Linked DNA regions of Alligator mississippiensis. The protein of the gene in region 2 interacts with the protein of the main gene of each other region in a biochemical or structural test. Links are inferred from orthologs where the notes say so. Each region holds a gene or a part of one and is shown on either strand. Other genes may lie near its edges. The genes, in order: NUP98, KPNB1, NUP153 and KPNA4.

Region 1 (7,836 bases), on a different chromosome or scaffold from region 2:
CTGTGTCAGCATAGTTACCACTTCTAAACACTTGTGATGAGAAAAGGCAGAAACACATCCTCAGGCTCAACATGCTTGAAGACTGCACAAAGTGTCTTAACAAAGCTCATTTTAACTCCACCTGAAGACTAACGTGGGAAATTTCATCCCAAAAGGAAACTAGTCAAGCAAAAGTTAAAACGTATGTTAGAACGGCAGCTAGAAGAGAAGACCCCACCTTACCAGCAGCAGGAGCGGGGAATTTTCATTTTCAGAAGTGCATCCCCAAAGGGATAAGATATGGTCTAGATGCAGGGACAGGAGCTAAGAAGCATCAAATTCAAACCCCATCTCTGACACCAGTGTCCTACTATGAGGCTTGACTAATTCATGCTTGCAAAATCCCTTGGTGACAGCTGCCTTCTATACAAGATCCAGATACTCTTATTATGGTGACATGAACCGCTGATTTTAAGGGAACGTGCGTGTGTGCGTGCACGTTTGCTGTGGGAAGGGAGAAACCTACCGTAATTTTCGGTTGAGGACACATATGTCAGAAGGAGGAGAGCAATGTTTTCAAGCAGGTTGAGCCCGAAGTTGAAGCGGCAGAGCCGAAGGTAGCGAGGGTGCGTGCAGTGGCAACTCTGGTAGTGGTTCCAGTACGCGATGGCCACCAAGATGCGTGGAGCCGAGTGCAGGCCGATACACAAACGCCACACATAACGCTGAGGGGTCTCACCTCCGATAGCTGCACTGATGGAGGGCAGGTAATTTGAGACCTAGGGAAGAAACAACAGTTTGTGGATCAGACATCAGGACTCTGTATTAGAAGGTCTCATTTACTGCTCTCTAAACTTTTACAGGCCAGATCCTGTCCTACCTATTAGGTGTCCAGATGGACTTAGGTGCCTAAGTGTGATGCTGTGCCACTGCTCAAATCCCTGAAAAGCTATTATACAAAAGTTGGCTTGTCCTCCTGCTTGCTGTTTTGTGTGACTTGGTCTTGAGGGGAAGAGGAAGTCGTGTTACAAACTTGGGTGCATTAAAGGTTTTTTTTCAGGTGAATGAGGATTGTGCACATAAGCACATAACAGGTGGAAGAGGATGAGTCCCTACCTTTTATAATCATAGAGAAAGACCCCCAGGTCTTCTAGTCCGACCCCCTGCTAAACCAGTGCAGCCAAATGTCAGTCTAACCTGCTGTGGAAAACGACCAGGGATAGAGACTCCACAGCCTCTCTAGGTATCTTATACAATGCTTTGCCACCCTCGTAGTGAGAAAGCTCTTTCTAATCTCTAACCTAAATTTCCCCTGCTGTAATGTGAGACCATTGCTCCTTGTCCTATCCCCTGCAGCCACAAAGAATAGTCCATCCCAATGCTCTGTAAAATCACCCTTTGAGTATCTGAAGGCTTATCACATCTGTTTTCTCCAGACTAAATAATCCCAGTGTTTCCAATTTTTCATACTGTGTTTCCCAGGCCTCTAATCGCTCGTGCTGCTCTCCACTGGATGCTTTCTGATTTGTACCCATCTTTTTTGAAATGCGGTGCCCAAAACCGGACACAATACTCCAAGGGAGGCCGCACCAACGCTGAACAGATGAGAAGTATCACTTCCCTGGACTTGCAAGAAACTATTCCATTAATATGGGCCAGTGTGCTATTGACTGTTTTTTTTCTTTTGCACCCAGAGCACACTGCTGGCTCACATTCAGATTCCAGTCCACAGTGAACCCCAAATCTTTGTCTGCAATCTGTAGCCTAGCCAGTCACTCCCCAGGCTATATCTGTACATGAGAGCCTTCCCTCCTACGTGTGGGACTTTGCACTTGTCCTTAATGGATTTCACTCGATTACTTTCAGACCATTGCTCCAGTCTATCCAGGTCATTCTGGATCCTAAATCCCTCCAAAGTTATGCAGCTCCACCTGACTTGGTGTCAGGTCCAAGGCATGAATGGAGATATCGAGTAATACCAGGCAAGCACAGACCCCTGGGAAACCCCCCTCAAAACCACCTCCCAATTAAAGTGAGTCATCAGGGGCTGCTCTTTGGAGCATGATGATCCAACCACTTATGTATCCACCTTCCAGTCTAGGTTAAACTACTGTATTTCCTTGGCTTACTAATGAGAATGAAAAATGCATAGCACAGAGGACATAATTATTCCTGTTTCACTGACGAGGAAACTGATAGAAGCAGAGAGTGATTTGTCTGAGATTACACGGCAAATCAGCAGGGGAGGCATGACACCAGATGTCCAGCCACCTACTCAAACCAGTAGACCACACCACCAATCCTAGCAGCCATACCTTTAACACACTTCCCTCTATGAGGGATTAGAGGGTCTGTAACTTACGCCACAGTGTGTAGCCGTCGTCTCCTGGAAATGGAACAGCAGAGACCAGATCACGCAGAAAAGAAACCCAAACAGCGGGCAACACACGGTCCCAACCGCCAGGGTGGTAAAGCGAAGTCGAAACAGGATCCCATCTCGATCCAGAGGCAGCGGTAACTGAAACATGTTGCTGGACCTAGAAGCAAAAAGCCAGTGTTTGACGGGTGCCCCTTCTCCCACAGGAGGACTTCCCAGCGCCGATGGCCACAGCAGATCCAAGCGATGCAAAAGGCCAAGGTGTGCAGCAAGTCGGCGCATGACCTTTCACATCCGAAACCCCAGGTTCAAACTCTGCATCGCCGGACTAAATACAAGCAACGTGAGTAACGGCTCAGATCTTCAGGCAGGTTGCAGTTTAGCTTCTGTGGGGGTTGAGGGGGGGAAGCTACAGCAGCGTTGATTCAGACAGACCCCCTAATCTAGGGGCAGGGTCAAGAACGGAGCGAGAAAGAGAGTCCCGCACGGACTAATCCGAAACGGTGCTGCACGTCAGTCGCTTCCATCACAGACAATCCTGAGAGCAACTCTCCGGATCAGGTCCGGAGGCTGCAGAGCTGGGACCCTGAACCAGCAAGGCTCGCCCGACCCTCCGGACCGTCTGGGGAAAACAGCGCAGCAGACGTTTCACAGCACGGATCCGGGCAAGTTCAGATCCTCAGCTTTTATCACCATCAGACGCTGAAATACATCAGAGGACAACGTTATCCCAGCACAATTTGAGCTACAAAAAAATTTGCCGGGTTGTGTCTAGACCCCTCTTTATTAACCAGGGTGCCTTGCCTCTCGCTCGAGCCTCGTGGCCCCCTTTTCCAGCCTGCAGACTAATATAGACTCATAGAAATCATAGAGAAGTGGGGCTGGAAGGCACCTCCAAAGAGTATGTAGTCTAACCCTCGGCCTGAGGCAGGATCATCCCAATCCAAGCCATAATCTAACCTCCTAGTAAAACTACCATCAACCCCGGCACGGCACAAGTCTGCACACCACGCACCTGCCACGAGCGAAGCAGGGCGACCACAACAGTCAGTGTCCTGCTTCTATAAAAGATAGTTAAAATACACTCGGGGCGATCCCACGAAAACGGACATTATCACAGAAAACGAGGGGGGGAAGGGACCTCCGGTCCAACCCCTTGCTCCAAGCAGGACCAGCCCCAATTATATATCATTGCAGGCTTACAAATCCCCTGACATACACAACAGAAGCAGGGGAGGCAACCAGCACGGCCCAGAAACCTGGGAAATCCCCATAGCCGAGCGCAGGCATCGCTACGCCTACTACGTTTTATCGAACCTCTCCTTGCGACGGAGCCCACAGCTTTCCGGAGAGGCGCCCGTCTATCCCGCTCCAACAACGAACACGCTGCCGCGAGATCCGACCGAAACCGAGTTTGCTGCCGCGGGGGGGCCGCGTCCTCCTCTTCGAGCTGGATTTGCCGAGAGCGCTCCCGCAAATCCCTCGGGGTCAGAGGCGGTCACGTGAAGCAGCACGGGCAGGTGTGCATCACGCATTGAACACGCGCGGGCTTGCACGGGGGGGGGGGGGGGGGGGATGACGACTCAGCGGGCATCGTGATTCGCACGCCCCGTCGTAACACCGAATCGCGCCGAATCCCAGCTCCCCCCCCCCCGTCGGCAAATGACAACCGCGCGCTCTCCCGGCGGACTTTGCTCGGAGCCGGCCTTGCCCCGGTTGCAACGCGGACACGCCGCGCCTCAAAGCACCCCCGTGCCCGTCTCCCCTCACCCCTCACACGCGCCTGGCACCAATAACCTGAAGTCTGCTCCCATTTGCACCGCTTTAATCCCCCCCCCCCACACTGCAAACGTGAGGTCACAAGATCTCCCGCACCCCCCCTGCCCCTGGGGACCCCCCCACGGGCCCCAGCACCCCTCCCAGTGCCCCCCACATGCCCCCAGTTGTCGTCAGCGCCCCCCCCCCCGGGACCCCTGAGGGAGGCGGGCGCGGGGGGGGGGACTCACGGCGCGCGGCGGCCGGGCCGGGCGGCGGGGCGGAGCCGGCGGCGCAGTCAGCCCAGCGGGCGGAGCCGGCCCGCCCCTCTGGATGCAGCTGCGCATCCCTCCCGCAAAACGGCTGCGGGGGGAGACTTCCCGTGGCGGGGTGCGGGGAGCCGCGCATGCGCACATCAACCCTGTGCCGGCGTGCGGACGTGTTTGGCGGCTCCCCCCCCCCTCACTATGGGAACCGCAGGCCGCCCCTCTGATTGGCCCCGCCCCGCCTTTCGGGCAGCGGTTCGAAAAGCCCCGGATGTCGGCTGGGCGCGAGGGGATTGCTGGGCCTTCCCCCCCTCGGCCAATCAGAACGCGACCCCGCGGCCCAATCAGCGCGGGGGAAGGCGCTCTTGCCCAATGAGAGCCGGGCAACTTCGGTTTCGAACCGCGGCGGCCAATGGGGCCGCGGCTGCAGGGCGGGCCAATGGGGCCGGGGCGGGGCGTGAGGGGAGTGTGACGCAGTTTCCCTCTCCTGCGAGGCGGCGGTAGCGGCGGCAGCGAGCGTCGTGGCGGCGGCGCTGGGCCCAGGCGCGGCCCAGGCTTCGGTAAGCGGGGCCGGGCCGCGGGGTGGAGGCCGCGCCGGGGTGTCCCCCCGCGGGCACGAGGGGCTGAGCGCGAGCGACCTGCGGGCTTTCCCCCGGCTCCGGCCGCCCGCCCGCCCCGCCGACGGCCCAGGCCTTCCGGGCGGACAGGCCGCATCCTGCTTCCTGGGCTCCATAGCAACCCCCTCCCCCGCCCGCCCTCTGACTCCTCTCCCCACCGCCCTCCTCTCCTTGTTATCCTATCTTATTTTCCTTTATTTATTTTTAGGTCTTGCCCTCATAGATTCATAGATGTTAGGGTCGGAAGGGACCTCAATAGATCATCGAGTCCGACCCCCTGCATAGGCAGGAAAGAGTGCTGGGTCTAGATGACCCCAGCTAGATACTCATCTAACCTCCTCTTGAAGACCCCCAGGGTAGGGGAGAGCACCACCTCCCTTGGGAGCCCGTTCCAGACCTTGGCCACTCGAACTGGGAAGAAGTTCTTCCTAATGTCCAATCTAAATCTGCTCTCTGCTAGCTTGTGGCCATTGTTTCTTGTAACCCCCGGGGGCGCCTTGGTGAATAAATCCTCACCAATTGCCTTCTGTGCCCCCGTGATGAACTTATAGGCAGCCACAAGGTCGCCTCTCAACCTTCTCTTGCGGAGGCTGAAAAGGTCCAGTTTCTCTAGTCTCTCCTCGTAGGGCTTGGTCTGCAGGCCCTTGACCATACGAGTTGCCCTTCTCTGGACCCTCTCCAGGTTATCCACATCCTTCTTGAAGTGTGGCGCCCAGAATTGCACACAGTACTCCAACTGCGGTCTGACCAGCGCCCGATAGAGGGGAAGTATCACCTCCCTGGACCTATTTGTCATGCATCTGCTGATGCACGATAAAGTGCCATTGGCTTTTCTGATGGCTTCGTCACACTGCCGGCTCATGTTCATCTTGGAGTCCACTAGGACTCCGAGATCCCTTTCCACTTCCGTGCCACCCAGCAGGTCATTCCCTAGGCTGTAGGTGTGCTGGACATTTTCAACGTCCACTCCGCGTGCCCGCGTTGTGAGCCATTGACTCCTGTCCCTATCCCCGTTTATTTCTTTTCATCATTATCATCATCATTATTATTATTACTATTATTATTATTAATGCGCACACAAATGTGCATATATGTGTGTGTGTGTGTATAATATATATAGAGAGAGACATATAGCCATGTATACACACACGTGTGAATCCATGAAATCACTTACGATTATAGATGAGTAGTATAGCTACATTGATGTATTTATATCGTAAACAGCGATCCTGTTGTTTTGGAAGGACTTTTTTGAGGTGACTTTAGACTTGTTGAAGGGCTCTTGGCCAGAGTCTCCCCCGGCTGCAGGGTTTTCTCGAGTCTTATCCGCTTTCTTAAAGCGTCCGAGGAAGTTTGGACAGATGTTTTCCAGGGAGGTGGGCGACGCAGCGACCTTGTTTGCTGGCGTGGTGTCGGATCGGGCATCGTAAAGTCGAAACGGGGTGTCGGTTTATAAACGTCGTTAAGTGCCGTTCGTTGCAACTCGAAACGTCATAAGTCGAGGGCTGCCTGTATGGTGAGAGGCCGTCAATAATGAACCCCTCTTGACTTTCTCTTTACCACTTAATATTTTGTAAACCTTTGTCCTGTCACCCCTCGGGTGTCTCTTCCTAAACTGAAGAGGCCTGGCCTCTTTAGTATCTCCTCCCTACCACTTATCTTTCTTGCCCTTCTCTAGACCAGTGTTTCCCAACTGCGTGTGGCACAAAAGTGTGCCATCAGAAACAAACAGGTGTGCCGCCGAACTTTGCCACGGCAATGAGTTACAATAGGCGTGAGGATGGGGGAATGTCTTAACAGGTGTGTCGCAGAAAATTTTTATTAAAGTAAGTGTGCCTTGGGCTGGAAAATGTTGGGAAACGCTGCTCTAGACCTCCTCCGGTTTTTTGGTATCTTGTTTGAGATAGGGAGACCAGAAATGGGCGCAGTATTCAAGGTGCGAATGCCCCAGGGATTTTTAAGGGAGCATCATGATACTTCCAGTTTTGTTTACAATTCCTTTCTTCGTAATCTCTAATGGTTTTGCTTGATGGCTGCTGAGCTCATGTTCTTAGTGAACTGTCACAGGTCGCTTTCCTTTGTGGCGACAGCCAAGGTGGAGCTGTCTCCTATCTAGTAGCAATGGTTCTAGAGCAGATTGCTAGAGAAGCAAGGGTTAGGTAAGAAGAGAGAGGGGAGAAACAGGGAAAGCAATAAACACCAATTATTCCTATTACATGGGGTGAGGAGTTGTCTTTATTTTTCCTAAGGGGTGGCAGTGGAGTCGTCTTCCTCTGACGTCCTGTCACCGTGCTCAAATTTGAGTCCAGAAATGGGCACGTACTATTGCGCTGCCTCGAGCTAATTTTTCACAGGAAAGAGAACTCTTGTCCAGCTCAAGCTTACTTTCAGGGGAGAAAGCCTTCAGTAGTTACCTGAGTGTAAAGCCAGTTGCTAGAGGAAATCCTCAAGGGTTGAATGCTGTTTGAGATTCCCCATCTGAATTTGCAGTCTACAGTAATAGAAGAAGCTCCTCTAATTGGATTGGAGTGAGGGGGATGGGAAATGGCTTGTAAGCCAGCTGTCAAAAGAGACCTCAAAAGTCAGTGGGTTACTTGCACCCTTCAGTAGCACAGGAAAGATGAATAAGGTTACGGAGTTAATTGCGCTATAACTACTTCTAGGAAAATACCTTGGCCATAGGAACTATTAAACTTCTGCATATCAGAACACAAATATACCTTTATCACGTGGATGTACTGCACTGTGAGGGTAGTAGTAGCCTTTGGATCTAGGAACCACGATGAATATTTTAGAATAATACCACAAATCTGTTAATGATATTTGTTTAATTTATTGGAAC
Region 2 (7,060 bases):
ATGTCAATACAATATAGCTGGACATAGGAGTTGAAGGAAGACTTGCATCGGCTGTCTGCTCTAAACCCAAATGCAACCAATTCCTAAAAATTGAACAGTTGCACTCAAATGTTAGAAACCTGTACAAATTTCCCAGTAGACAGAATGGAAAACTCTGGTAGTAGCTAGGAACGACTGTAAGCAGCATGTAACAGAAGACCATAGATTTATATATGACCTTTGTGAATATATCACCTGACAGAATTGTAAGGAGGCTATCAAATAGTCTGTTTAGACACCTGAAATACAGTGTTTGCAAATAAAGTTTGGGTCCATCAATATAAGCTCGATTAAGCCTTACAAAAACATCCAAAAAGCATATTGGCCTAAAACAAAAATCTCCCTCATTCACCTTTTACCATAATGAGAAAAGTAATTTTACTCATCCCCAAAGAACTTTTATTATAAAGTCAGAAAGAAGGAATTTTGCCAGACTAGATTGTGGAAGCTGATGAAAAAAAAATGTGACAATGGCAAGGGTCACAACCCCCAAGGAGACACTGGGCTCAACTCTCAAAATTCCATTCTGAATTTGATGCGGAGGAACTCTGGGACATACAGCTGAAAAGCAGGAGCAGCTTGTATTCGCCATTACTTTATTTTCTGCCTGCTTCCTGCAACTATTTATTTAACAAGAACTACGTAAGTAGCTGTTTTATTCTGGGTCCAAACATCAGCAGTTCTATCTGTAATTTAGATAGACTAATTTCAAAATCCTTCTAGATTACATTTGGATTTGGGTCTGCAACGTACATGCTCTCACAGCCTCTATACATAACCAAGCTCTGCCAAAAGTATTGGCTAATGCTCTAGAATGTATGCAGGAAAAAATTGCAAGAACTGACTGGGACACATTTTCATCAGCTGCACCAGTAAAATTTCTCAGCTACAGTTGGGTTCCACAGTTACAGTGGAGGGCTATGATTTACTAAACAGCTAGCCATAGAACAGGAACTAAAGAGAAAGATATTAAACATAAAAAATATTCCAATTATGCTTCAGAAGGGTTCCATGATCACTAAAAACATGGAGTTGCATAACAGATATCTCAGTTTAGTCTGGAGAAGAGACAACTGAGGAGGGATTTGATAACAGTCTTCAGCTACCTGAAGGGGGGGAAAGGGTCCCAAAGAGCATGGAGCTAGACTGTTCTCAAACAAGGAGCAATTGTCCCAAGTTGCAGCAAAGGAAGTTCTTCCCAATACCTCACCTAAACTGTCTCAATAGAAGGGCAGTAAAGCACTAGAACAGGCTACAACAGAGAGGTGGTGGAATCTCCATCCCTGGAGGTTTTTAAGACTTGAGCAGACAAAGCTTTGGCTGGCATGATCTAGTTGGGTATGGTCCTGCTTTGAGCAGGGGGCTGGACTAGATGACCTCCTGAGGTCCCTTCCAACCCTCATTTTCTATGATTTCAGAATTTCTTGTCCATTGACACCGGTGAAGTGGAAAGCACATATATGTCCACATAAAGAAAAACACCCACATTTTGCTTCCAATCTGAAAGAAAAATAGGTGACCAACAGCAACAAGCCACACACCCCTGTACCCTTTCACTGAACTGCCATAATGACAAACAGCTTATTTGGCTGCTCACAGGAGAACCTTACACATTGCAGCCCCATCCATCCTTGATTTTAGTGCACTCATGTGCAGGGGCTGCCATGTGTTTTAACAGGTCAACACGAGACAGCCTTTTGCAGGCCTGAGGGTGTGAGCTCTGCTCCCCGCCACCCTAACTTCCTTAAGAAAATACACTTCAGACACAGACCCTCCCCCAACCCAGGGTGAAGCTCTCTCTGCTTCTCCGAACTCCAGGCCAGATCAGACAAAGGGGGAGGGAGGCATAGCCCAGAAGACAGGGAATGATGATGAAAAGCAGAAAGGGGGTATCAAAAGGGGAAGAGGATGAGAAAAAAAGGACCCAGCCCCAGTGAGTGAGGAAAAAGAGAATGAGAAACAAATGGAGCAAATGAAAAGAAGAAGAGGTGCAAGTGATGGCCAGAGGCAAAAAAAAGTCAGTCAGCAAAGAAACAGAGGAGCACCCTGCACCCAGCCTCGCAAAGCAGCATGAGGGGATGTGGAAGAGGGAGATGGGTCCCCAGCACAGGAAGGGAGCAAGACCCCAGGGGGCAGGCAGGACTTGCCCTATGGTGGCAGTGGGGGCAGGACGGGGGGTAGGGAGCCACCCCCCGCCCCAGCCCGGGCTCCCCACATGTCCCGCAGGCCCCATTCTCCCCCCTCCCGCCGCACACACAGCACCACGCAGCCTAACACCCTCCCCCTCGGGCCGGATGCGCGCTGCGATTGGCCGCCGGGTCTCCCGGGCGCGTCGCCATTGGCCGGCCGCCGCCCCGGCTGGAGCCGGCGAGGTAGGCTGCACCCTTTATGGCGGCCCGGCCCGGCCTGGCAGTACGGCCCCAGCCCGGCCGCCCCGCTCACCAGGTTCTCGATGGCCGCCTGCTCCAGGAACTTCTGCGCCGCCTCCAACTCGGAGCGGTCTGCGGGGAAGGGACAGGCCGCATCAGGCGCCGCAGCTCCCGGCCCGGGCCGGCCCGCCGTCTTCACCTCGCCCGCCCCTGCCCTGCCCTGCCCTGCCCTGCCCACGGGCCCCGCGCGGGGAAAAACTACGTCCCCGCGGCGCCGCGACACGCCCGCCCCACCCGCCCAGGCCCGCACCGCCTGCGGCCGCGCCGCGCCCCACCCGCCCGCCCGGGCTCCTGCCCGCGGCCCCGCGCCCCCTCAGCCGCGCCCGCCGCCGCCGCCTGGCCCTGCCCTGCCCTACCCGGCGAGACCGTCTTCTCCAGGATGGTGATGAGCTCCATGGCGGCGGCGGAGGCTCCGGCGCGGCGCGGCGGTGGGGCGGGGCCCGCTCCTCTCTCGGCTCCTGCGGCGCGGGGACCCGGGCGGCGGCGGCGGCAGCTGCTCGAGGCGACTGTGGCGGCGGCGGAAGGAGAAAGGGGCGGGTGGGAGCGCGGCTCGGCGAGGCGGAGCGGAGGGATATGAGCCGCTGCCCGCCGCCCCGCTGCCGGGGGCTCATTGGCTGCCCGCGCCCGCCACGCGCCGAGCTGATTGGCCGCCCGGCCGCCGCGGCGCATGCGTGTCGGCGGGCCGCCGCCGGGTTCCGGCGCCGCGCGCTGATTGGTCGCCGCCGCGCCCGGGCGCCCAAGAGAAGTGGCGGCAAGCGGGGGGTGTGGGAGCCGCGTGCGCGCTCTGCGTCATGACTTCCCCTCCCCCACCGCGTGCAGCGCCGGGCTGCCGCAGCGGTCCTTGCAGGGTGCAGCCGGGGGCCCCGCTGCGCCGCGGGCAGCTCGCAGCTGGTTTCGGAAGAGGGGGCGCTCAGCCCGCAAGGGTTCGGGGGGGTTGGGTCTCCTGGAAGGGGGGAATCTCCGGGAGGGGGTCTTCTTCCTTGTGGGGAGGCTGGAGCAGGAGGCTGAGAAGCGCTGCTCGGGGGCTGCAGCTCCTGAGCTGAAGGCGGCCGCTGCTCGGGGGAGCTCCGACCCAGCGGGGGAGTGGGGCCCCCGGAGAGGCGAGGCTCCATCGCAGCTGTCACAAAGCGCTTCCCTTGGAAGGATGAAGCCCACCACCAAGGGCTGCGCTAAAGGTAACGTATTTGCCCCTGCGATTGTGGTGGGGTGGGGTGGGATGGTGGCAAGGAGGCTTTAAGATCTCCCCATCCTCTCTTCTCCTGTGAAGGTGCTGCAGCCTCCATGTGCCTACCCAAGAAGAGATGAGAAGGATGCGAGTGCTGCAGAAAACAGCTTTCCTCCAGCCCCAGCTGTGGCTCTTCCTCATCAAACAGCGTGTGTAAGGGGCACTGGGCTCGCACAGAAATCTGCTATATTGGGCACACCTGATGTCAAAGAGTTGTTCCGTGTGCATGATTTGGGTGGTACAAGATCCTGGGGTGCCTTTGGAAAGGGCTGGGAATTACCTGAACATCCCCTTCCTCACTGAAATTCAGTGGCATCCAAAGCTCAGGAGGTGCTCCAGGGCTAGCACTTTCAACACATTTTTATATGCATTGGTTAACTAAATACTCTCCTAGCTACTGTATTAGTGCCCTTAACTCTAACATGACAACAACTATAAGGATATTAAGCATGATCCTATGTCAAGTCATACTAGTTCTTACCTACTTCTACCTGAACAGCATCCCTTGTCCGTAATAGCATCGCAGCCCGTGTTCTCTTCACTTCTGTAACAGTGTCAAATTCTTTTGGTCAGCCCATTGGAGGCAGAGAGCCCAGGAGGCAATAGGAAGCCCACAAATGGTACATGGGGGGAGGAGGAGAATCCCCTTGATGGGCTGGGATTAAATGACACTACAACTAGCACTAGAAATAATCCACACCTGGTAGCACTTAAAACTGACGTTTGTCGGGTATGAATGGTCAGCAGCCCAAGCTACAACTGAACCAGCTCTGACTTTTGAAGCAGAACGTGAAGGTAGTTGACTGCTCTTTTGTCACTGACTGCAGTTCTGTAGAACCCACCACAGTAAGAATGAAAATCTTCACAAAGACTGGAAATAAATATGGTGCAGCGTCCTGCTGGTGAAGAAGGCCGTAGAGAATGTTTTCTATCTGGTTGAATTTCTAGAGGCTGATTCATCTGAGATATACTAGTAAGGGAAGGCAGAAATCAAAGCCTGAAATTGGTGTCCTGTAAGCTTTTGGGGGGGGGGGCAAACATTGTCCTGTTCTGGACAGTGCCCAACACAACGTGCCCTGTGATTTGGCTTCCAAGGTGCTCCATACTACATATCAATAGGGACTAATCTATGCACTGTTTTTGTACTGGGAAAATGTATTCCAGGTAGTAGTGTGAGACCTTTTATTTTCAATGGAAAGAGTAGCAGTCCAATCCCTAGTGTAGACAAAGGATGGCAAAAGATCCCTTCTTTCTGTGGCAGGGGTGTCAAACTCATTTGCTCCTGTGTCCCCTGCCGCCGCCCCCCCAACCCCTGCAGCAGGGTAAGCAGGAATGGCAATAACCCCTATGGGTGCTTAAGCCACTGTTTGTTCAGGGAGCCCTGGGGCATAACACTTCTTTTGTTGCAGCAGCAGCTTACGTATGGCAAACAAGTCCCCAGTGAAGCTCTATACCCCAGAATTCAGTGGCAGAGAGATGGATTTCAAATTCACCCCTGTGGGTGCCTGAACTACTGTCAGTTAAGGGGGCTGTAGAGGTTAATGTTGCTATTACTTGTCCCATCCTTAAATCTCCAGCCCCTCTGGGGGACTGTGGGCCATATGTTTGACACCCTTGCCACAGGAGGAACTGCCATAACATATAACCACATGACATTTCATGGATGTGAACATACATGTCCCTTTAACTACCAGGATAGTTAAAGCAATACAACTTTCACATGTGGACAATACCTGAGTCAAACTCCTGAGATGCACTGATGCTAAATAAAGTCTTGCAGAAAAGGAGAACAAGGAACAAAGGTGCAGCTGCATAATTAAACCAAGGTGAAGAGGGTGTCTCAGCGGTTTGTGCTGTAGGAGGAAGAGTAATTAGTAACACAATCAGGCTCTATTGTATTAAATATGAATGCCATGGGGAGAAGGGGTGAGTAGCCAGATATAGTCAACCTGATTCTCTCAGGCAACAGGTACCCATAGGCTGATAACAGGGAGGGATGAGAGGGGCCCCATTTTTCAGACGGAAGTAGGAAAGTCCTGTCTGTCTGCAGATATGCATGAGACTGTTTGAGCAGAGGTGTCCCATCTCATTCTGCCTTCAGAGAAACAGTTCATGTCTCTCTAACTCATCCTTGTTTCTGCTGACATATGGCTTCCCTGGCACTTTAGAAACCACTCACCATTGAAATGTAGCTGCCTCTGAGGAGGAAGCCAGCTACAGGAGGGAGAGGAAAGTTTAACTGAGGACACTAGCAGAAAATCCTCCTCTTGATATAAAAGGTGCCAGGAGCTCAACACCCAGCAGCCAGATATTACCTTAGACAACCTTCCTCTTCAAGTTCTAGGCACAGTGAATGCCATGGAACTCCATTTATCTCTGAGAAGCTCCTAACCCTGCCAAGAGATGAACCAGTGGAGGAATGGAGTATAAATTTTTAAAACCTGTAAGGTTCCAACTTTGTCATCCTTTCAAGCCATGAAGCCCCTCATAACACTCCATGTTGGAGAAACTGAGACACATCAAGATCATATGGTGTCTGAGTGGTAGGGCCAGAAATAGAGCCCAGGAGTCCTGGCTCCTAGTACTTTATCCACAGATACTGCTCCCTTCCCCTCCTACCCTGCTAAGTGCCTTAGCCTGGAGGGAAGAGTATGCTCTTCTAAGGCAAGAAAGAAGGATGTACAAATATGGAACAGGAACCTGTCCCTAGGGAGGTGGGTGAGTATTAACCCTGCTTTATAATCGGGAAGTTGGTCCAAGGTCAGGCAGAGGTGAAAATGGAATGCAGGTGTCCTTGCTCTTCACCCTGGTTTACAGGTGGAGACTAGCAAAATGACACATCTAAGGTGATGCAGCTAGGCAGTGGGAGAGCTGAGGATGGAGCCTAGGGGTCCTGGCTCTGCCTGGTTTTTCAGCCTCTCCTCATTTTTTAGCTATGCTCACCAGCTGTACATAATAATAACTAGCACTTTTCAGAGCAGAGGACTTCAGTCATCTCCTGTATGTGGAAAAGGAAGCAGAGGCACAGAGAGGGAAAACAAACTGCCTAAGGTTAACCAGACAGCCAGTAGCCCAGCTAGGAATAGAGCCCAGATCTCCTGAATCCCAGTCCTGTCCTCTGCAAAGAGTGTGAACTTCCCTGTGGGTGATGAATATTCCCTGTGATGCACACATCCTGCTGTATAGCTAGACTCACTGATGGAGGCCATTGCTGAGGGTACAGCTGCTTAATCTGCTGTGCATGTGTTAGGTCTAGATTCTCTTACTTGGTTCACTGACTGCTTGAGTGAATCATCCAAAGGTAGAGCAGGACTAGAAAATGTGCTTGGTGCCTGGAGTCACCGTGCTGGAGTTAGAAGAGAGGCTA
Region 3 (6,946 bases), on a different chromosome or scaffold from region 2:
GGCAGAAGAGGAAACTCACTGAGGCCCCATATTCTGAGCAAGTGCAAAATCATTAAGCTTTCACAAAACAGAGCAAACAACTCCTTGATCAGACCTGAGACATCCCACTGGCTCAACCCCCTTCCTCCAGCTACCTCTAAAGCTGCCAATGTATCCTACAGGTCAGGGGTAGACAATCTTTTCCAGCCACAGGCTGGAATGACCCAACCCTGGCTGGGAGATAGGTGGGCAGCCAAAGCCTCACATCCTGCTATATGATGTCTGATTCCACTGGTAACTGCTAGGTATGCTTGTAGAATATCTACTGGACTAAATCCCTTTAAAGACTTAGCTGGATCAATGCCTACTTTTTAGTTTCTGATTGGGGAATAAGTCTGAACTAGGTTTTGAAAAGACTGAGTAGGTTAGCACCAAGGTACTTCTGGGTACATGCAGAAATAGAAATTTCAGGCAAAAAAAAAAAAAAAAAAAAAGAAGGAATTTTAAGGTTACAGACTGCAGCATGTATTGAAGAGAGATGCCTCAAGAGGCAGGTCTGATTCAGAAGGTTTTAGGATTGCAATTTTTTTGACCCGGGTGCCTAAATTCTTTCAAAGGTCATTAAAAAAATTTAATCTAAAGGCCAACAATTTAAACTTTATTGAGGGCTCCTTGCAAGGTACATTTTCCAATGGAGGCTGTCCCTAGTGGGATCTACTCTGACTGGACATCAGCTCTCAGTCATGGCTACAAGCAGAAAACTAGACTGCACATGTAGGCATACGTGCAGATTAGCAAACTACCACACAGCAAGGACACAGGACTCAACTGTTTTGCTTTTCAAATCTTCTCATTTAATAGATTATGGAGGGCCACAGGGATCACACTGGAAGGTTGCATGTCTTGGGCCCTAGTCTAGACTATTAGCACACATCGGCAAAATTTAAGCCTACTACTTAAAATTAGCTGCCCAGAAATAAATATGCAGAATGTTCTGCAAGTTTGCAAGCTCAACCTGGAAAAGTGCTTTTTGAAATATCCAACAAAACATGCACAATTTAATAAACCAATGAGACAATGGAATTTAAAATTATTACAATACAGAAAAGAAACTTTCCTCAGATATTTTACCGTATTTTACCGTAAATTTGATTGGTATATTTTGGTTTCAGTATCTATCTTTACAGCTTTATCATTCTTCAACTAGGTCTCATCATCATGCACATTACCTGATTTTTCAGTTCTGCTTCACCTTTTGCAAAAGTATGTCAATACTTGATCTGAAAGAGTAGCAACTTGCTTTCAACAGTTAGATGTCTGTGTCATTAGGCTGCACCAGAATTTCCGAGACAAATGCACATATCACGCTGTATAAAACAATATTGTGCTTAAGGCTGTACACAAATTACAACTCCCTGTTAATGATTTTGAGAGGAAATATGTCATTGTATATATATCTGTGCGTGTCTGCCTCTGAGCATATATCAACATCTATCTAGATCAGGGGTTTTTAAACTTCTTAGACTCAAGGCACTCCATGATAAACTAAGGCACCCCTTGGAAAATGTCATCTCTTAGTTTTCACTTATTTTTTGACTACGGAAAATTAACAGAGCAACTCTTCAGTTGCAAGGAACTCAGAAAGACTACAACAGGTCAGAATGGTTTTGATTCTGTGGATTATATGAAGGTGTACTTTGTGAATCATGGCTGCATACCTAGCATTTCCAACACTGCATGGCACCCTGCAGCACCCTAGAAAGGATCTCAAGGCACCCCAGGATACCATGGCACCCTCAGTGAAGGTACACCCCCCCAACCTGTATCTACACACATACACGCAAATCCTCATTTACATGGTCTTCTAGCTGAAGTTACTAATTAAAAAAAGCAGTAACTTAGACTGTTGCCTTCAACACTTCCCTTAAGTGTTCCCAAAGTGATACTAGCAAAGTACACAGGGGCACGGCTTATGCAAGCCACGGGCACATCTCAAACAGGTGGCAAGCTGAGGCATTAACAGGGCAGACGCCTTCCCTCCTGCCTGCCTCCAGCAGCTTGGGCTATGCACCCAAGACAGCTCCCTGGGGGAAGAGCAGTGATTTGCTAACAAAAACTCATTCTCTCTCCACCCAGGGAGGCAAGGCACAGAAGGGGAAGGCAGGAGAGCAGTTTATGAAGCAAGATTTCCCGCTCCCCCTTCATATTATATCACACCCAGGATGTTCCAGACAAAAGCCACGTGTAGGGGACCACTCTTGAAAAACTTCAGAGGAAAGGGGCAGGGAAGGAGGCTGTGATGCAGAAGCCCTCAGTGGAAGCACCTGGGGGGGGGGGGGAGGAGTGGGGGGCTTTGTAAACTGGACTGAGATGGGCAGAAACAAGGGTTCAAAGCAGCAAAAATCTGAAACATCAATGGAACAAGATAAAAAAAAAAGTCAGGAAAAAAGTCATCAGGAAAAAATATACTGCACCCCTCACAAGCACACACAACATGCAATCCCCCCATATCCTCCTACCACAGGCAGGGCTGGAAAGCCCCTCTGGCCCAACCACCCAGCCATGTCCATCCCTTCAGCTATTCCCACAACTGGGAGCCCCCCACCATGGGACACCCCCCGCCTCAAACGGGGCTGCGGGCAGGAAGGGGTTAACCCCCCATTTTCCCCCCCGGGGCGCAACACCCGCCAACGGCCGCGCCCGCCACGCGGCCCCGCCCGGCGCGGTGGCTCCCACGTGGGCCCGGGGCCGCACCCGCCCGCAGGCCCCTCACCTGCTTGCCCCGTGAGTAGGGCGTGGAGGCGCCCAGGTGGTAGCGCCGCGTCCGGATCTTGCCGCCACCGCTGCCCGAAGCCATGATGGGCCCCGGGCCCTTCCCCGGGTCCCGCGCGCCGTCCCTCCCCCCGCGGCCCGGCCGCTCCCCGGCCCCGCCCCTCTGTGCCGTCACGGGCTCTGCGGAGCGGCGCCCCCGCCGGCGCGCGGCCCGTCTCGCGGCCTCCCAGGCCTCACGCGCCGCCGGTTCAGTCCCGCCCGCCCGCGCCGCGTCCGAGTCCGCACACCCGTCCCCCCCCCCCCACCCGCCCCGTCCGGCCCAGCAGCCAACCACGCGAGCGCCCGCCCGGGCGGCGGAGCATCACTAGCCCGCGCCCTGTCCCTTGCGTCATCCGACTGGGCGCCTTACCCGGCAGCCCTCGCGCTCCGCCCCGAGGCCTCCTGGGAAGGGTAGTTCTCGCGCGAGTGGGGGGTGCGGAAGGACAGAGCAGAGCGGAAAAGGAGAGGGAGGGAAGGCGGGAGCGCCAGATCGAGGCTGTGACGTAACCCCATCGCCGCGCCCTCAAGCCGTAGCTCGGTGATTCACTGGGGCTTAATTACCGTAATGATCGTATTTGTGGCGCAATTTCAACCCTTGCACGCTGTACCCCTAATAGATAATACTAAAAGTTGTCAAAATGGGCGCTCATTCTCGGGGAAGCTCATTGGTGCAGCATATGCAAAAAAACACCCCAGGTCACTCTCTGGAGGGTCTTAACCAAATTTCGGGTTTGCTGTCATCACTTTCTCCTGACAGCTTGCCTCGGAATGAAGAAAGGCTTCAACTTGGATGCCCCAGTTCTCCCTCACTAGAGGTTACAGGTAGCAATAAAAAAGTAAATGAGGCTGATTCGCATACTTATTTGCATACTTTTTTCAGTGTCCAATAGTTTTGCAGAAAATATGAAATTATGGAAATTATTGTATTTAAGACCTAGCAACACTGCCTCAGAGGAGCCTCACAAAGTTGTAGAGAAGTGGGGCTGGAAGCAGCCTCCAGAGGTCTAGTCAACCCCCTGCCTGAGGCAGGATAAGCCCTCGACAGACCAACCCCTACAGCCCTCCTCTAACCTCTATGAAAGACCAGGGTTTGAATTGCACTTTGACTCTTGGGGGAGCGGTCTACAAAAAAAGTTGGGCTGCCCATCATGATGCCCTAATAAAATCCCCTAAAATCTAAAATCTACCCTGGAGATCTTCAAAAGGAGACTGGATGCTCACCTTGCAGGGATTATTTGACCCCAGCAGTCTTTCCTGCCCAGAGCAGGGGGCTGGACCCAATGATCTCATACGATCCCTTTCAGCCCTAAACTTCTGTGAATCTGTACAATTCTGACACTCCCTTCCTGGTTATGATTTTCAAATCTTACAGGAGGGCTCTCATCTCTTAAGCAAGGGGGGGGCTCAACCTCCCCTCACCCCCAGCTTCCCTGTAATTTAAACCCTTCGAAAGACTTACCCTCAGCCCTGGCATAACAAGGACCTCACACCCGAAACCTGCTGCAGGACAGTGGAGTTCTTCAGCATCAGGGAAACAAAAGGCTCTATATATGTTTACAGCCTTTATATAGAGAGTTTTTGTTTCCCTCATGCTGAGAAACACCACTGTCCTGCAGCAGGTTCAGGTGTGAGGTCTGTGTTGTGTCAGGGTTGAGGGTAGTCATTATATATATGTTCGTATAAAAATTTAAACCACAGTTGATGGTAGTCTTACACACACACACCATTTTAAAGACAGTCTCAAAAGAACTTTCCCGGGCCTGATTTCTGCATTGGGCAACAGCTATGGGTGGATCTAGGATTCTGAAAAGGGGAGGTGCACATGGTACGGTGCATCATCACAGTTTTGCCCAGTGAAAAAGATGCTCGAAGCTCTCTTGATAGATATTAGCCTAGAGCTCTAGTATTCAAGTTAAGATTGAAGCCAAAAAAAGAAAAAGAACAACATGCATTGGAATGTGCATGAATTTACTCAATTACATCAACTAACGAGGCAAAAAATAACCCAATGTTGTTTTGTTTGTCTTGGAGTCATTTTAGTTAAAGGCATGTCTCTCTTTCAGATCCCTAAAACAAAACCAAGCCATCTTGAGCATCTAGGCACAGCACATGTGCCAGAGCATGACATGTGAAGGCATTTTGCTTGGCACACATGCATTGGGACAGACAGCGGGGGAGCCACAAGGGGCCCAATCTTTGTTGTGGCAGTACAGCCCCGGCCCCTTCCCTGCTGCCCACCCTGAAGTGCACATACACCCACCACTGGCAATGAGCCAGGCCAGGGTTCCAATGACCCTAGTTCAGCTTTTTGCAGCCTCCTTGCAACCTGCCGCAAAGAGCCCAGGCTCCTGCCCAGAGCTGGGGCCTGCTGTGGCAGACAGCCAGGAGTCTGTAAACAGCTGCACTGGGATCCACAAAGCCTAGGCCCAGCTTGTTGCTAGCAGCGAGTGCACTTGGGCCTCAGGGCAGATGGCAGAGAAGGGGCTAGGGCTGTACTACCACAACAAGGATCAGGCCCCTTTTGTCTGCCTCTGGCACATCTTACAAGTCAAGGTTGTAGGTGTTTTTGGCACTCTACCCAAAAATGTTACCAACTCCTAATCTAGACAGTTCCCCCAAGTGCTCCACTGAAAGTTAATTTCTACACTTGAGCTAACATTCACTTGAGTTTGTGTTCCTACACCTGAAAACCACTGCTGGACTCTGAAATGGGAGCTGTGAGACTAAAAGCAGCTAGTAGCAGCATGGTAGAAGTGAGAGCTGGACGAAGGGAACCATTAAAGACTATTTTAATGGAAAGTTTAGAAGGAATTGAGCAAATTCTAATGAGCCATTAAGTCAATGGACTCCCTCACTGCTGCCTGAATAGAAATGCTGGCTTTTAACTTTGGATGGACTAGAAATCAAAGCAGGGTACGAGTGTACCAGTGCACCGCCCTCATCCCCAGCTGGCATGCACTAACCTTAGGTTACACATGCACAGACCTTAGCAGATCTCTCTCACTCCTTTTGTTTCCCCCCCCCCCCCCCAACCAATCCTCAACTTGCTTGTGGGTGGGGAGGGGCCTCAGGGAAAATTCCATAGGAAAGCAGGACCAAGGACAGTGGTGGTTTGATTGCTCAGGTGAGAAGCTGGTGTCTTTTTATTTTTGTTTTTTTAAATGAAAGACCGAGTTCAAGCAGGAAGTGTAGCTTAAAGTTTTCCCTCCAGCCTCTTCTTGCAAAAAAACAAACTTTTTCCAAAAACCTCCCTTCAGCATACCAAGTCGGTCTGTGCAAAGCGGCTAGTATTCGCTTTGGATTCAGCTGATTCGGGGGGGACAGCGATTCGATTTGGTGATTCGAAACACTGTCCCTAATTGATTTGGCTCCCGCCAAATGAGCCGAATCTCCGAATCACACAGGCCCCATCCCCTGCCCGCTCTCAATGGCTGCCCCGCCCAGCTCCTGGCTCTTTGGAAAGAAAAAAAAGAAAAGAAAAAAAGCCTAGCACTCACCAGCTGCTGCCAGGCACTGCCCCATGCTGCATGCGGGAGGGGGGTGGGAAGCCCTCTGTCATGAGCCCACCCCTGGCTGCTCTCCCAGTCCCTCCGTGGCTGCCCTGCCTGCCGCAGTTCCTGGCCCTTTAAAAGACAACCAACCAAGCAACCTACCCACCCTGCTCTCCAGGTCCTGCCTGGCAGGGGGCAATCCCCACTGCCCCCCCCCCCACTTTGTGGGGCTTTTCCACAAGCCCCCAGAAGCAGCAAGGCCACTGCAGGAGCCAGCGAGTCCAGGGTAGGTTATTTGTTTATAGGGCTGGGAGCTTGGGTGGGCAGGGGTCAGGGGTTTGTGGCAGAGCACCCCCCATGCAGCAGAGGGCAGTGGGGGGGCAGCAGGGATTGTTGCCCACCTGGCAGCACCCAGTGAGTAGGAGCTTTTTTTTTTAGAAACTGAGAGCTGGGGTGGGCGGAGCAGCCATGGGGAGGTGGGAAGGGAATAGGGGCTGGCAGGGGTTCCTCTATAGTCCTCTTCTCCAGCCTTCCCTCCCCCACCCCGTACTTACCAGCATGGAGTCTGGGTTCAGCTCCCTGAAGCAACCAGCAGGGACTGCCAGAAATCACTGAAGTTCTCCAAAGTGATTCAGAGAGCTTCAAATAGATTCAGACCTTTTAAC
Region 4 (7,059 bases), on a different chromosome or scaffold from region 2:
TTTGCTTGGCACGCTGTGGCCAGCCCTGGCCAGCAACGGAACTTGGGCTGCTCCCAGCTGGGCTTGCAGCATCCCAGCTGCCTGTTGGCTGCAGCCGGGAGGTTCCAAACAGCAGTGCCGGGCTCTGGCATCAGCTCCTCACTGGCGTGTGCAGGCGCACCTCTGAGCGGGCGGTGGGCGAGGGGCCTGAGACGCCGTATGCCCGGTCTCTCCCCTGCTCCCAGCATGGAGGTGAAGAGATGCGCTGGGCTCATCATAGCCAGCCCGGGCTCTGGGCAGCTGCAGTGGGCAGAGTGCAAACAGCTGCGCTGGGCTGCACAGCTCTGGCATTGGCTCCGTGCTGGCGGCGACTGCACGGGCACCTCGGGGCAGTCAGCAGGGCACCCCACCCCCAAGATGGCAACCCCGGGGGGGGGGGGGCGGCTATCCTAGCAGCCCTCAACAGTTCACCAGAACTTGGTAATTGGCCCTCAAGCTGAAATAATTGTCCACCCCTGGGCTAGAAGGTCACAGTAGTGGCAGTATTGTTCAGTGTCTAGGGCATTCCATGCAAAACTCTGTAAATGTATAGGCTGTCTAAACAGATATCACGCACTAATTTGATTCGTAACTGTTGAGCCTGTTCTGTTAATAAACTTATAAATGATTAGTTGTAATTTCAGTATTTTAACTGTTTGTGATGATCTGCACCAGTCACACGTGGATGAAAAACATATATATATATATATAGCTCAGTGATCAGTCACTTTCTTATCTTTGTTTCTCAAATCAAATTGGTTTCAGCTGTTGTTTCTATATATTTATTTACTAATCATTTTGTCTTGTAAAATTATAGTCTCAGATGCTCTGAATTTACAGACTTGCCACTTGCTCGTTTTATTTCCCATAGGTGTTAGGCAGTTGTGATTTCCCCCCCTCCCCCCCCCCCCCCCCCCCGCTATTTGAATGGCATGAAAAAGAAAACGTTTTTATTTCATAGTGCCACTGAGCTTAGTTATACAAGGAGATGGCTTATTTCAATTATATGTGCCCATTTACAAAATTCTAAATGTTTTTGTGACTTGGCCTCTTAAATTGGGCATTGCTTAAAAAAAACCACTGAGGAATGCCGTGTGTACAAGTTAGATTTTATACTACTAGATTTTCAGTTACTTTATTAGCTTAAGTATAAATCCTGACATTGATTTTAATATTTCGTTTAAAGCTTTCTAAACGTGTGTCTTATTTGCTGTTCCTGTGACTGGTACTTTTTATTGAAGGACTTTATGTACTAATGGATTGTGTCTCTTGTCCAGCTGTCCTGGGTGCTGCAGCTGTGTTACATAGGGTCCTATGTTGTGGCCTTTGGTATGTTAGGAAGCTGTTACAGTTTTTAAATTCTGCTTGTGGTGATCTGTGTCCTTTACTCTGTTTTTGTTTCTTGTCCCCAAGCATAAAATAGCTTTTTGTTGTTCTTCCAGCTTTTATTAAAATTACTTTTCCATTCTCCTGCCCCAACTAAAACATTTAATTCAAACATGGCTTGTTCAGTAGAGTAAAACAAATGTTCGAAATGCATCAGGTATGATCTTGCTCGTTTTATTATGAGCCTTGTGTTAGGGATATAAATACTGTTTTTAAAATATTTGTTTAACCTTCTCTAATTATGTGGGTTAAATGATTAAGCTACAACATGGCAACTGCTGAGAGCGACTCCTAGAGCTTTTGACTGGGGGAAGGGGTGGAGGAGGCAAGCCCAGCCAGACAACACAGTCTAGGTGAAGCCTGTAAAGGAGCAATTATGCGTTTAATTGATGAGTAATTAGCAGGGATCCTGGTTTTCTCTGATTTTAAATAAAATTGCAAATTCTCTGATAACCCCAAAATCCATGATTAAAATAAAAAGCCACTATGCCTGCCTGCCTGTAAGTTGAACACAATGTTTTATTGATATATTTACAATTTTAAAGCAATTTGGAAGCACACCAGTGCCTCGATCACTATAATACATTCTAAATACTTGTAAATCTTGGTATTTAGTTGTGTGATTTTATCATGGAAGATCAGAGCTAATCTCTGCCCCCTTCATTCACAGAATGCAGGTCCAGGCCCCTTAGCCCTTTTACCCCCCACTAGTGGGGGCCCCCAGCTGCCAGGGTTACAAGGCCAGGGACCTGGGTCTGAGCCCTTGGCCCTCCGCAGCAGCACCTGAGCCCTGGCTGCTGCCCACGGGAGGTGGTGGCTGCTGTTGCAGAGTAGCAGAACCTGGCACCCAGCATGGCAGGGCAGAGTGGGGCTGCCCAACTCCCTTCCTTCCTGTGGCAGCCTCAAACCCCCACCCCTGCCTGACTTACCTGTGAGAGCTGCTCTCCAGGCTCCCTGGCAGCCATGTGCGTATACGTGTCTCTGGCCTGACTGCGCTTCTCCCGTTCCCCCCAGCCCCTTGCAGGCTGGAACTCTGCCATCCTGCAGATTGCTCATTGCAAAACTGCAAAATCTACATGTTTCTCTGTTAAAATGATCAGTCTGTATTTTCTTGGGTGAAGGGGGAAATTCACTTTTTTCTGTTTTTCCATGGTAAATGGAAAACCTGGATCCCAGGTCCTTAGGCTGCTAGCTGTTTTCCTCTTAAGCTATGGGTACTATAGTCCCCCTTGTCTCTCCCACATCCCTTTCCCCACCACCTGGTTCTTCCTTCCCCGCCCTCCCTTCTCCTGTCCTGGTGCCTTCTGAGTCCTGCTGGGGCACCCACCCCAAGTTGAAGGATAATCCTAAACTAACCCATTATCACTGCACATACCAGTTAAAGGATTAATCGTTTAACCTTTCACATCCCTACCTTGTGTTGAGCTGGAAGGATTTTTGTTTCTAGAGGACAAAGGAGGGGGCACTTAGTTGCATGTTGGCAGTTAGAGGAACATTCCCTATTAAATTCTTTGAATGAGAAGGAGATCAGTGATATCTCTTTTCCCTCCTTCCGCTGCCCCTTCCCTTATCTCGCACTTCACTCTGTCAAAGGAAGCTTGTTCTATAACAGTTGAAAGTAGCACTTTCCATATTGTGTGTCTTATTTAAGCCTTCCAGGAAAAATTAGGTTTTAGTTAAATGAATATTCCTCTTCAGGAATACAGATTAAAATTTTAATTTTGTCAAATTCAAATTTCAAGTCCTAATCTTCAAGCTTCTTCCTGGTTACATTGCTAGTTTGCAGAAGTCTTTCTTTTAGCAGTTCCTTCCCTTTGAGCTTTCTTTTAATACTGTTTCTTGAAATTGTCAGCTTACTCTACACAAGTCTACCACCGTTTCTTCATTCAAACCTCTTATTAAAATCGTGTTTTCTTTAATTTTCTCATTCTAATTTAATATTAAAACAAGATTCTTTTAACATTAAAATCTCATTACAGAAAAAAAATTGCTCTGCTGTCTTACAGATGGAATGTGTAGTGATTGCTTTCTGAACTTGAAATCAAGTCAGGCATCAGAGTTGAGTATTTTTAGCATCCGTAGCGGCTTCAAATTTGTTTCATTAACTTGTATAACTTTATAGTCATATTATTCTATTTAAGTACATTTCTGCTGTATGAAAGATGCGCAAATTACTATCAAAATTACAAAGCTGGCTTCTTACATAATTCCTGTACCATAACTGCTACAACAACACTCCAGTCGTAACACAGCACTTAAGACATATTTCATATAAATGAAATATGCTTTTATTTTGTTGCTTATCAGATTTCTTCTGTCTAAACTTTGTGCAGTAATTTAACCATGGTTATTAATATATCTGTCATTCTAATAGCAATACTAAGCTACAGCAGAACTGACTGAGAAGCCTGCCACAGTAGGTAGCTTTATATTGAATGATGGAACTTGTACAAGTGCTTCTGTGTACAAAAGCATGCATTTAGACCAGGGCATCTGGAGGATGCTTCAGCTGAGTGTATTTCATTCAGGAGAGAACATTTCTAGCTGTATCTAATTAATAGAATTAAATTATGAATTGGGTTTGTTTGTAGAAAATCTTTTTTTCATAATGACTTTATCGGTGCTTAAGCATTAAGGTTATAGAGTGAAGCACTCAAATAAGAAAAAGTGTTAAAGTTGCATGCACAAACTGCATGGATTCTGGCATCTCAGTTACATTGCTTTATTGGGACTCTTCGGCTTGGAGAAGTGAAGACTCAGGGGTGACTTGGTGGCAGCCTGTAAGTATATAAGGGATGTGCATCAGGAACTGGGAGAACATCTATTCACCTGTGCTCCCTAAGGGAAGATAAGATCTATCAGTCACAAACTTCTAGAAGACCGTTTTAGACTGGACATAAGGAAAAACTTCTTTACAGTCCTAGTCTCTAGAGTCTGGAATAGACTTCTCCCAGAAATGGTGCAAACACCTACTCTGGATACCTTTTAAGAAATGCTTGGATGGGGTGATCTGACCCCAGCTGACTTCCTGCCCCCTGGACAGGGGGCTGGACCCAATGATCTCACAAAGTCCCTTTCAGCCCTAATGTCTATGAAATCTATGAAACTGAATGCAGATTGGAAACTAGTGGGGAAAGCTGTATACTTGTTGCTTTGAATTTGGATTGAATACTATTTTCACAATCTAGATGAGGAATAGATTCTTTAAGATGATAGTTTGATATTCTGGAGTTTGATTTGGTGTGTGCAAAGGATTATGTGACAGTTGTCTAAGATGGCAGGATCACACTGACCTAGAAGATCTCTTTTCATTTTGACTTCTTCTGATGTGAAGTGGCAACTGAAGAAATTTTAAGTGTTTTGCACAGTTTGTGCAGTGAGTCAAGCGAAGTTTCATAGAAAAGATTAAATATTACCTTACTGCCTCATTCACTGTGAGGTAGTGTGCAATAAATTAAAGTATTTGTGAATTTTATTGTATGATAACAGGCTACATGGTAATCCATACACATGGGGGAAGGACTAAAAATGAAATCTTAAGGTTGAGAGTCACAAAAAACTAAGCATACCAGTTATTAATTCAAGTGAGTTTAAGAGCAATTATCAGATGCTCTACTTATGGTTCATGCAAGGAAGTTAAACTTCATTGGTGCATCTACCCATGCAGTTAATGCAAAGCAGTAAACTGTGAAACAACTCAAGCTGGACTAAACTGTTCCCAGGTGCAGTATCTATATGTGTACCCGGGATGGTGATTTGAGCCAGGGCAGCAGAGTAGGCCCCCAGCTGGCCGGGCTGACCAGATATAGTTTACTTCTGCGATCAGCCTCTATACGTCCATTTCAGCGTGGTAAATGACTCTGCTGTAAGATAGTACTGTCCCCAACAGTATTATCTTATGGCAGAATTTTAGTTTACTGCGCCCTAATATCAACTTGCATGTAGACAGTGATGCTTTACTGTGGAGCTAATTAGTCAGCTCTGCAGTAAAGCATATATTTAGATGTGTCCTATATGTTTTGGATGCAAGTAGAGTAACTTTACTTCCATTGCATTAGTCTTCTACTGCAATAGTTTGTTCAGTTTTAAGGGCAAGATCCACAAGAGGCCTTCAGGTTGGTGATACTGAGCCATGAGTCAGTCCTGGGCACCAGGGCAAAATTAGTAGCCTGTTGATTCAGTTATACACCTTTCAAAATGCCTGGGGGGGAATTAGATGCCTTTAGAATGGGTTTCAATAACCAGTATTGTTAAGCTGCCCAAGGGCTCCAGTAGCAGTCAGGGACTCAAGATTTTAAGATTGACCTCACTTACCCCCTTTCTTTTAGAAACAAAACAAGGCTCCTGTTTTTCTTTCAGAATATGACTAGAAGAGATGGTGGCAATGTCACTGTTTTTTCTAGGATAGCCTTGTGGTTAGAGCATGCAAGTGGGATATAGGTGGCCTGGGTTTAATTTCTTATTCCTCAGGGGATTCAGCGCATTCCCCGCCAAGCCCCATCTTCCTCCACCCCAGGTGAGTGACCTGATCTGCAGACTAAGCTGTTCTGTGAAAGTGGTGGAGCTTTGCAGATCATTAGATTAATTGGGCCAGAGTGCAAGTGTGATTGGTCTGGCAAATAATGCAGTTGAAAGCATATCTGCAAAATGACTGCTCTTCACTAGTTTGTAATAACATTTGGAATAGGTTTTTGGGGTTTTTTTTGTTTTTGTTTTTTTGCCATGTTATGTGATATAAAACAACTTGCTTGTCCCATGGTCCTGTGTTAAGTATGTTATTGATTTATTTCCTCCCCATTTGATTTTTTTTTTCCCCCCTTTATTTTACATTGTAGATATCTGTTAGCATGTTCTTAAATAGTACAATAAAGAGTTAATTATTTGAAGTGTTTAGTTACCCAAATGCAGGACATGTTGCCAATTTGTGTCATGAGTGTTATAAATGAGAGCAGGGACAACAAAATAATTGTTAAATATTATTAACAATTAAAGGGAGGCCAGCGTGGGCAGGTTAACCTTTTTAATGGTTTAAAATTTTTTTTCTCAACCTTCAAATAAGAAAAGGACCTGTACATGTATACATGTTCATTTAATAAGCATTTCATTAACCAAAATTGGTTTTTATTAAAGGAATTAGTTCCTAGTTAACTGACTCTATTATATATTTATTGCTATTTTTATATAAAAAAATCTAATTTTGATGGCCTCAGTTGAAAGAAAAATGGTTTAATTAAAGTCTTAAATGTAGGGAAAATCATAATGGTCACTAGGTCCAGATTTGGAATGTTATTTAATTGTTCTGTTTTCAACTTTTCAGACTATGAGAAGACAACGAAATGAAGTTGTCGTGGAGTTAAGAAAGGTGAGATCAGTTAACATTGCTTCTTTCAAAAACAACTTGATGTCTCAGAATTTTGAGTTACCAGTATCTGTATGATCACAGTGCATATTCTTTTGTAGACCTTTGTGAAAGATGCTATCAATCTTTTGTTTTATAAAATTTGTCCAGACATTTGGACAGCCTTTTAGTGGGAGGGAAGCTTTTGAAAGGCAGATCTTACTAAGTCAGAATCTAAGAACTCCACCTAAGTTGTCTTCCTGTAAACTAATTGAAGAAGTTTTATTTCAACTAGTTACACAAACTTCTGTGATCCA

Evidence for each region.
Region 1: the proteins of KPNB1 (region 2) and NUP98 form a complex in vitro, tested with the Homo sapiens proteins (3 studies listed by BioGRID). The link is inferred for Alligator mississippiensis from reciprocal best matches to the Homo sapiens genes KPNB1 and NUP98.
Region 3: the proteins of KPNB1 (region 2) and NUP153 form a complex in vitro, tested with the Homo sapiens proteins (4 studies listed by BioGRID and IntAct, with this or other methods). The link is inferred for Alligator mississippiensis from reciprocal best matches to the Homo sapiens genes KPNB1 and NUP153.
Region 4: the proteins of KPNB1 (region 2) and KPNA4 form a complex in vitro, tested with the Homo sapiens proteins (2 studies listed by BioGRID and IntAct, with this or other methods). The link is inferred for Alligator mississippiensis from reciprocal best matches to the Homo sapiens genes KPNB1 and KPNA4.

What each region holds. Positions count from the first base shown.
Region 1 is NC_081824.1:481,359,050-481,366,885, reverse strand, and holds the start of NUP98 (nuclear pore complex protein Nup98-Nup96), read left to right. Parts: upstream 1-4,834; 5' UTR 4,835-4,937; intron 4,938-7,836. Other genes in the region: PGAP2 (post-GPI attachment to proteins factor 2), read right to left, coding at 506-758, 2,342-2,638. UniProt on the Homo sapiens protein: Plays a role in the nuclear pore complex (NPC) assembly and/or maintenance. NUP98 and NUP96 are involved in the bidirectional transport across the NPC. May anchor NUP153 and TPR to the NPC.
Region 2 is NC_081827.1:167,231,597-167,238,656, reverse strand, and holds the start of KPNB1 (importin subunit beta-1), read right to left. Parts: upstream 3,004-7,060; 5' UTR 2,865-3,003; coding exon 2,825-2,864; intron 2,541-2,824; coding exon 2,482-2,540; intron 1-2,481.
Region 3 is NC_081826.1:130,932,206-130,939,151, forward strand, and holds the start of NUP153 (nuclear pore complex protein Nup153), read right to left. Parts: upstream 3,005-6,946; 5' UTR 2,837-3,004; coding exon 2,753-2,836; intron 1-2,752. UniProt on the Homo sapiens protein: Component of the nuclear pore complex (NPC), a complex required for the trafficking across the nuclear envelope. Functions as a scaffolding element in the nuclear phase of the NPC essential for normal nucleocytoplasmic transport of proteins and mRNAs.
Region 4 is NC_081830.1:68,628,886-68,635,944, reverse strand, and holds the start of KPNA4 (importin subunit alpha-3), read left to right. Parts: upstream 1-4,038; 5' UTR 4,039-5,827; coding exon 5,828-5,920; intron 5,921-6,721; coding exon 6,722-6,766; intron 6,767-7,059. UniProt on the Homo sapiens protein: Functions in nuclear protein import as an adapter protein for nuclear receptor KPNB1. Binds specifically and directly to substrates containing either a simple or bipartite NLS motif.